Rattus norvegicus: one gene and its partner. The protein of the gene in region 2 interacts with the protein of the main gene of each other region in a biochemical or structural test. Links are inferred from orthologs where the notes say so. Each region holds a gene or a part of one and is shown on either strand. Other genes may lie near its edges. The genes, in order: Emd and Lmna.

What was found.
Region 1: the proteins of Lmna (region 2) and Emd form a complex in vitro, tested with the Homo sapiens proteins (4 studies listed by BioGRID and IntAct, with this or other methods). The link is inferred for Rattus norvegicus from reciprocal best matches to the Homo sapiens genes LMNA and EMD.

Annotation. Positions count from the first base shown.
Region 1 is NC_086039.1:157,188,827-157,193,353, forward strand, and holds the start of Emd (emerin), read left to right. Parts: upstream 1-1,611; 5' UTR 1,612-1,718; coding exon 1,719-1,800; intron 1,801-1,892; exon of another isoform or gene 1,893-1,972; coding exon 1,973-2,080; intron 2,081-2,216; coding exon 2,217-2,294; intron 2,295-2,514; coding exon 2,515-2,651; intron 2,652-3,783; coding exon 3,784-3,830; intron 3,831-3,912; coding exon 3,913-4,243; 3' UTR 4,244-4,527. UniProt on the Homo sapiens protein: Stabilizes and promotes the formation of a nuclear actin cortical network. Stimulates actin polymerization in vitro by binding and stabilizing the pointed end of growing filaments. Inhibits beta-catenin activity by preventing its accumulation in the nucleus.
Region 2 is NC_086020.1:176,236,997-176,241,468, forward strand, and holds the end of Lmna (prelamin-A/C), read right to left. Parts: coding exon 4,340-4,472; intron 4,252-4,339; coding exon 4,029-4,251; intron 3,529-4,028; coding exon 3,421-3,528; intron 3,323-3,420; coding exon 3,203-3,322; intron 2,825-3,202; coding exon 2,729-2,824; intron 2,022-2,728; coding exon 1,755-2,021; intron 1,506-1,754; coding exon 1,479-1,505; 3' UTR 568-1,478; downstream 1-567.

The DNA of each region.
Region 1 (4,527 bases), on a different chromosome or scaffold from region 2:
TAAACTTCTATAGAGGACTGGCCAGTGACCTTCACTAAAGTGTCATCAAGGCCAGCCTAGAGCTGACCAGAGTATTCACTATCACTATCATTTAGAAAACCCATGGGTTGTAACCCCTCTAATAAACCTCTATCTCCAAAAATATTTACATTATGACTCATAAGAATAGCAAAAATTATCATTATAAAGTGGCAACAAAAATAATTTTATGATTGGGAGTCACTACAACATGAGTAACCGTTGTGGTCACAACAAGGGTCACAGCATTAGGAAGGTTGAGAATCACTGATTTAAGAGATCAGGCATCCCACACACCTTTTCTGCATGTACCCCCTCTTCTAGATGTCTCCAGTAAAGGGCAGCTTACACCTAGAGCCACATGACTTTTCGTAGAATATAATGGTCATGCTCACTCTTCAAGGCAACCTTTCTCTGATCCAGATCCTTAGTGAGCCTCCGTCAATTCCCATGGTTTACCTTTAGGCCAGCAGTTTGGAACCTCTGGGATACTATTCCTTTGGGTCTCACATATTAGATATCCTTCATATTAGATATTTATAATTTATAATAGCAAAATTACACTTATGAAGTACAACACAATAATTTTATGGTGGTGGTGGGGTCATCACAATATGAGGAACTGTATTAAAGGGTCGGCAGCATTAAGAAGGTTGAGAGATACTGCTCTAGGCTTTGCACACTGTCTAGGCCTCTAAGGTCACACCAAGCTTAGAGACTCTGCCAAAGAAGACTTCTCCCCTCAAAACTCCTCAGGGCCCAAGGTGGATGGAACAGTGAGTTAGGCAGGTACAAGGTGTACCCATCTACATGCATCACATAGCAGGCACCTTCTGATTGTGCCCATTGGCATGCCCTGGACCTTTGGAAAGCTGCTTGGTCCTACAGTGTTGGCGGCCTCTTGTCCCAGTGCTAGCCCCATTTCCTCCCGGATGGAACTAGGCGGCAGAGAGGACGGTGGGAATGGGCCTGTACAGGTGTGCAGGCCAGGGCCATGGAGCCTGTGAAGACCAGCGGAGATGGGTAGCGAGTGCCAGGGGTCTGTGGGTGGTTATGTAGGTGATGAGAGTCCTGTATGACAGCACTTGTGCACACAAAGAGCTCGCAACAGCGTCAGGCGCTGTGGAAAGGTTTGCTCTCAGGATTGGACTCTTCACATTGCTGTGGACCAGACTGTGGCTGAGAATCCTAGGCACTGGAAATCAGGATGAAGCCACAAAGGTGTGTAAGATTTCACAGCTTGGGAAATCACAAGCCAGTTTTGGTCCGCTGAGAACACTTGTCGCCCCTCTAGTACGTTGAGCTTTAGCACCCTCAGATAGCCTAGCTAGCCCCGCCCCTCAGCTGCCTAGCTCTCAAAGGAAGTCTCCGCTGCCCCAAAATCTCTCCCGCAAGCCCCTCCCTCTTCCTGTTCGAGTCAATCTCACACAAGTGTGACGTTTGTATTTGCCAGTCCAGCCTGCTAGACTGGTCTGTACTGGCCGCTCCGGCGGATTTGGGCCTGCCCTGAGGAGAGCGCGCAACCTGCGTAGCAGCGGCTGTGACGCAAACGTGACGGCGGCTTGACGCGCCCACAGCCGCTCTTGAGGCGCTGGCGCTTCCTCTGCTAGGCTCCGAGCTGTCTGTTTCTTGGGCCCTGTGTATAGGTGCCGGCCGCCCCTGGCGTTCAACACCGCTTCCAGGTGCCGGCCGTGTCTGCCATGGACGACTATGCGGTTTTGTCCGATACTGAGCTGGCCGCAGTGCTACGCCAGTACAACATCCCGCATGGGCCTATTGTGGGTATGCTGCAGCCGGTGGCGCTCAGAACCTCTCGGTCCCCCGCTTTCCCGCGCTCCTCCCTGAGCGTTCTTCCTACCTCCTCCTTCCCTCAGGTCCCCTCCCCGTGTTCCCTTGTGCTCTTGGGGTGCTCGGCTCGCACCCGCTGACCGCTTCGCACCCTGTGTCTGGGCAGGCTCCACTCGCAAGCTCTACGAAAAGAAAATCTTCGAGTACGAGACCCAGAGAAGGAGGCTTTCGCCCCCCAGCTCGTCATCGTCTTCATTCTCCTATCGGTTCTCAGGTGAGGCTCCAACTGCACAGCCCCAAAGAGCAGCTTGGGGCACAAGGCGCAGGGAGGGAGGGTGTGGCTGAAGCTACTGAGGGAGTAGGGGGAAGTCTGGAGATTGAAGGTCCTGTACCTTCTCCTCCACATGCAGACTTGGATTCAGCCTCCGTGGACTCAGACATGTATGATCTGCCCAAAAAGGAGGACGCCTTACTTTACCAGAGCAAGGGTAAGGCAGGTGTGGGATGGGCACTGATGTCTTTATCCCATGCTTCAGGGATTTGGGCACAGTGAAACTCCAGACCTCACCCCCTTGTACCAGTTCTCAGTGGCTTCAGAGAGAAGAAACTGGCACAGCACACACACAGACTGGGGGGGGGGGGCGGAAGGTGGCAAGAGGCCAGGTAAGGGGCACCACTTTTTCCTCTACCACTGTTTTCTTCCTCAAGACTATAATGATGACTACTATGAGGAGAGCTATTTGACTACCAGGACATACGGGGAGCCCGAGTCTGTGGGCATGTCCAAGAGCTTCCGCCGGCCAGGGACCTCACTTGTAGATGCTGATGATACCTTCCATCACCAGGTGAGTTGTCTGGTAGGCATACCTGGGGTGTATGTAGCCTTAGGGAATTCTAGGTTTGGATAGTTCAAGGAGATACTAGGTGCAGAGAGTGGATCTTAGGCCTTCAAGTATGGTTAGGATCAGCATACAGTTGTTGGCTCAAAAGTTCTACGTTGGAACCTCCAAAACTATTAGATTTGGGGATGAGCATATATAGCTCAGTAGAAGAGCATTTACCTATGGTTTCATCTCCAGCATCCAGCAGCACACACAAATGTTTTTGGGGTTTTGGCATTTTTAAAAATTTAATTACTTTAATTATACCTATGTGTAGCCAATTTTTTGTTAGTTTGTGGGTTCCCCTCACCCTTTCACCCCCAATCATTAGATAGAGAAAGAGAGCTAAAGATCCCTGAATCTAATTTCTTTCTTCCTTGTGTCTTCTTTGACCCCAGCTACTAGCAAACTGTAACCAACCTCACCTATTGGGGCTCTAGTATTTACATACCCTCTGAAAAATTCCCAGAATTCCAAATACCACAAAATTGCAGAAACTATCTGCAACTCAAAAGCATGAAGCAAATCATAGCTGCTGTAAAACAGCCCCATATCCCACATCTAGGGTTAAAATAAAAACATTCTTATAATATTTCTGTGTTTCTTAAGCCAAATTTCAAGAATTCTCACTACATGTATGTGTCTGTGGGTAGTATGCATGAGTGCTGGTGCCTACAGATGCCAGAATTGTCAGATTTCCCCTTAGATTCCCCTTAGAGCTAGAATGGCAAGTAGTTGTAAACTGCCTGATGTGAGTGCTGGAAAATGACCTTAGGTACCTAGGAAGAACAATAGGTGCTTTTAACCACTGAGGCATCTCTGCAGCCCACAAACTTTTATGATCTGAGCATATATAACAGCACCTGTACTCTAGGATGTAGGTTTAAGCCTCCTGAGAATCCTGGGGAATAAAAGGATGGTGGGACAAAGTTGACAAGGTTTGTAACTGGGTGGCAAGGCCCCACAGTTAAAGAGGGCATGGACCCAGAATGATGGGGGGGCAATTTTCTGCCCCCTACAATGTGACTAGAGTAGGCTAGCCAGAGACATTTGGGGAAACCATTCTTTCCCATTTCTAATCCTAATTATCCGGCAGGTGCGTGATGACATTTTCTCTTCTTCAGAAGAGGAAGGCAAGGATAGGTGAGTAGTGAACACATGTAGGGACAGGGACAAGTTTGACACTCAGACTCTCCTGCCTACCTGTCCCCTTCTTTTGCTACAGGGAACGCCCCATCTATGGCCGAGACAGTGCCTACCAGAGCATCGCACACTACCGCCCCATTTCCAATGTCTCCAGGAGCTCCCTGGGCTTATCATATTATCCTACATCCTCCACCTCTTCTGTGTCCTCCTCTTCATCTTCTCCCTCTTCATGGCTTACCCGACGTGCCATTCGACCAGAAAAGCAGGCCCCTACTGCTGCTCTGGGCCAGGATCGACAGGTCCCACTCTGGGGCCAGCTGTTACTCTTCCTGGCCTTTGCTGCCTTTCTGCTCTTTGTTTACTATTCCATACAAGCTGAAGAAGGCAACCCCTTCTGGATGGATCCCTAAGGGTATTGGTTTCAGAGCAGCTCTTAACAGGAGTTTTGGCTGACTGCCTTAGCAGTGTTTGCTGGGGGTGGGGGGTAGGGGCTTTTTTGTGTATTCTAGTTAGAGGGTACAGGGCCTAGCCTACGGCAGTGCTTGTCTCCACCTCATCTTGCCAAGGAAGCAGCAAATGCTGGCTTTCCACAGCCCAGTAGGCCCGTATGTACCTTCCTCTGGAGCCTCCTAGCCTTATTGCCTCTGACTCTTAGGGTATGGGGATCTGGTGGGGAGGACCTCACTTCATTAGA
Region 2 (4,472 bases):
AGGAACCAAACCCAGGTCCTGTGTAAGACAGTACATGCTCCTAACTTCCGAGTCATCTCTTCAGCTTTCAGTCACTTTTGACAGAACACTCAGCTATTCTGCCCAGGAAAGACGTATTTTGTTTTTGAAACAGGATCTTGTGACTACCAGACTAGCCTCAAACTCACCACACCCCCGCCTTTCCTTTCTTCCCTGAGAGTATCTCAGCCTACCGAAGCAATCGCAGCAACCAGAGCTGGGACTCCCGAGGCAGCCTTGGCATAGGGAGCTCTGCTAGTCCCCACCCCTACTCTGCTGTCCATCTGTCTGTGTTCCTGTGTCTGATGAACACGTGGCTTGCTGGCCCCATTCAGAAGGTGCTGGATCAGTGCTGGGTGGATGAGGGTTAGGAAGGCCATGCCCCTTTCACCCCACATGGTTGAACTTTATAGAAGACCCCTCCCCAGTACTCAATACATACCCTTCATAGCTGTGTAGCACCGAATATGTAGTGAATGTGTGGCACCTGTGTGTGCATGTGTCTGCCCCTGAAAATACACGTGACACCCAACAAAGAGACACCACAGCATCCGGGATGGAAACAACTAGTGTATTGATTTGGGGGGAGAGCAGAGGTGCAGATGGGAAGTGGGATGAAGGGTTCCTTAGTGTTTGCTGTAGCCACCAATCACCACACCCTCTAGTCTTCTCACTGGCCCCAGCAGGTTCTCCCAATCTCCAGGAGCCTTTCCCTCACTCTCTCCCCAATCCCACTTAATACTGCCCTCCACCGACAGGACAGAGCCCACCAGCAGGCTGTACGCACGGGGGAAAGGTAGGTTCAAACTGACCGTCCCTTCTCCTTCCCCATCTTTCCCATCTCTTGTCTGAATACAATATAGAAAAAAGCAAGCATGGCAGATTTGCCTCTGGGAATCCACTCGTCCCAGGCTCGGGAAGGCAGGAGGGTAAGGCAGGCAGAGGAGTCTCGGCCAAGTGTAGTGAGCCAGGAGGGGCTTGACCTTTCAGTCATTCTCTCTGCACCCCTTTTCTTTGCAGCTGGCATGGCAGTGGGCCAGCTGTGGAGGAGGCCGGTAAAGAGAACTCCATGCCTGCCTCTCAGGCACCGTGTCACAGGGTCCTGGGATGAGGGCAAAGCCAAGGCAGCAGGACAAAAATCTAGACTACAAAAGCAGTCCTTTCCCTGGGCTCCTATGAGAAGCCCTTTGGTTTAAGGCAGATACAGGGAAAAGGGAAGGACTAAGGATTGAGATAAAGACACTTTTTTTTTTGCTTGTGTTTTTCCTTCAGTATAAAACCACTGTAGAAAATAACTTCTCTTAGAAAAAAAATAGAAGGAAAAAAGAAAAACACCCAAAGGCAGGGGATAGTTTTCTTTGGCTTCAGACCTGCTCTCATAAGGAACAGGGCAGGAGGTGGCATGTGGTGAAGAGGGAGCAGGTGGCCTCTGCCCCCACCCCTGCCTGGCAGGTCCCAGATTACATGATGCTGCAGTTCTGGGAGCTCTAAGAGAGAAGAGAAGGCAGAGGTGTGAGCAGCAGTGCCTGGCCCTTCCTCTCCCTCCCTGACCCCAAAGGGGGTGTGTCTCCCAAACCCTCACACTCTGGGCCTCGCCCTGACCTCGAGTCTGGGGTTCAGACAGGAGGGGCAGGATGCAAGGGGGGCTGCAAGGAGGGGGACCCCACTCCCGTGGGCTGCCCTGCTGCTCGGTGAGCAGTGTCCTGCTGTAGGGCAGAAGCGAAGAGATGACTCACCTGGGTCCGGGGACTGGAGTTGCCCAGGAGGTAGGAGCGGGTGACTAGGTTGTCCCCGAAGCTGCCACCCCCACTGCCCCCCACACTGCGGAAGCTTCGAGTGACTGTGACACTGGAGGCAGAAGAGCCAGAGGAGATGGATCCGCCCACCTGGGCTCCTGAGCCACTGGCAGCCTTGTCAGCAGGCTGCCCACATGTCCCGCACAGCACGGTGCGTGAGCGCAGGTTGTACTCAGCGGGGTCCCCCGAGCTGCTGCAGTGGGAGCCCTGGGAAGGGAGACAAGGCTCAGGAGGGACAGCGAGTTTGGGACTGACTTCTTAGGACCAGCACCTAGGCTCTGGGCTCCTGTAGATTCCTGGCCATGGGGCAGGAAGGTGACCTCTGTCTGCACCCACATAGCCGGAGTGGTAGGGACATAGGAGGCCTGTGGCTGGGAGGAAGGGCATGATGGGGAAATGGCCAGGAAGCCTTCAAAATGAAGAGCTGTGGTTTTAACTCTCTCCTGAATCCTAGACACTTAAGGGGCAATCAATCAGGAGGGAGGCTGAAGATGGAGAAACTTAATTTGTGGAGGGACAGAAATGAGAGAAAACATTGCTGCAGGGGAATCTGAGGAGAAGCATGCAATAGGACAGAGAGGAGCAGAAAAGCGTGCATGCAAAGGGAGTGGGTGGGGAAGAGAGGCAGGGCTGGGGCCATCTCTGTCCTCCCATCCCTTCCCAGGAGACAAATCCAGATCCTGTCCACTGCCACCATGGAAGAGTCTGTGGCATCAGAAAGTCCCCACTCCCTTCCTTACCAGACACCTGGGCTCCCTGTTCAAGGTAGAGGGAGGAGAGAGAAGAAAGGCGAGGGCAGCAAGTGGCATTCCAAAACACTTTAATGAAAAGACTTTGGCATGGAGGCGGGAGAGCTGCCCTAGGCTGCCAGGGCTACCCTTGTGGGCTGGGCCTCAGCGGCGGCTGCCACTCACACGATGGTGATGGAGCAGCTCATCTCCATCCTCTTCCTCATCGTCATTGTCCTCAACCATGGTCAGTGAGCGCACCAGCTTGCGCATGGCCACTTCCTATGGGGACATAAGCCCAGACCCAAGAGTCAGGAGGTGAGGGCTGTACAGCTAGAACCATCCTGGGCCCTTATATAACCTTGCTCCAACCTCTGATGCTGGGGCTAAGGAATGCACGCACACACACACACACACACATACACACACACACGCACACAAATATACACGCACACAGGACACAGCTGACAACTCAGCGAGCGTTCTTTAAACTGGAGTCTGCTGTTAACACTCACTGGCTGACTTCCACCCATCATTCTACTGGGGAGACTTTTGGCTTGCTTACGGCTGGGTGGGAACTGGGCTCAGGGAGGTAGCTAGTCCCATTATGGCCACCAGGGGCAGCCTTGTCCAGCAAGCTACCAGCTGCGACATACTCACTTCTCCAGTGGCGTTGATGAGAGCCGTGCGAAGGCTGCTCCCACAGCCCCAAGTGTTCTGTGCCTTCCACACCAAGTCAGTAGGGGGGCTATGGGTGGCCCCAGCTCCTGAAGCCCAGATCTGGGGACAGATGGTTTAAGAGATGTGCTTATTCTTAATGCTCTTGTCCTGAGTCCAACTTCTCCACCCCAGAGTCCCACGCAGGCCCTTCCACTCACCGTCACCACCTGCCCGGCCTTTAGGGTGAACTTCGGTGGGAAGCGATAAGTCATCAAAGGATCATCACCATTCTGACGCCTGATCTGCCAGTTGCCCATGGACTGGTCCTGCAAGTAGGGTGGAGGGAAGAGGACAGGAAGCTCAACCTGGCTCTGGGCTAATCTCACTTATGTGCAGGCTAGGCGCCAGTGTACACCAGCAGTTCCAGCGACTATGGAGGCTGAGGTGGGGGAACAGCTTAATCCCAGGAGATCAAAGCCACCCTGGGCAAGACCCCATTGCAAAACAAACAAACAAAAACCAAAAAAAAAAAAAAAAAAAAAAAAAAGCAAAGCAAAGCAAAAGAGCAAAAAACAACAAAACAACAAAACAAAACAAAGCACAGAGAAGACTGGCCTGCTGGCCTGCCGCCCCTACCTCTGGCATCCCAACCTACTCTACTCACTCAAATGTCGTACTGTGCCACACACACCTATATTCCTCCATCTTCCCAACTTAGAGATGTAAAGACTACCACACACTCCAAATTCTCAGATAGGGCGACAGACGCTCCACCAGAACCAGGGGCTCCCAGCCATTGAAAACCAGACCCTGATCTCAGGCCCACCTCGTTGGACTTGTTGCGCAGCCGCACGAACTTGCCCTCTTCATCTACTTCCTCTACGGCCACACGGCCGCTAGTGCGAGCATGCTGCGAGAAGCTGCTCCGGCTCTCAGAAGACTCCAGCTTGCGCTTTTTGGTGACGCTGCCTCCACCCTGAGACTGGGAGGAGTGGGAGGAGGCGCGGCCACGGCTGCGCTGCGAGGTAGGGCTGGGGGACAGGCGTAGCCTGGGAAGGTGGAGACAAGACGCGGCGTTAGTCGTGGGAGTTGCAGGCCATAGGCCCCGACAGTGTCTCTAGACCCCTCCTAGTTCACCTCTCCTCCTCGCCCTCCAGCAGCTTTCGGTAGGCATGGATCTCCATGTCCAGGGCCAGCTTGATGTCCAGCAATTCCTGGTACTCATCCAGCTGCTGCTGCATCCTTGCCCGCATCTCAGCCATCTCCCGCT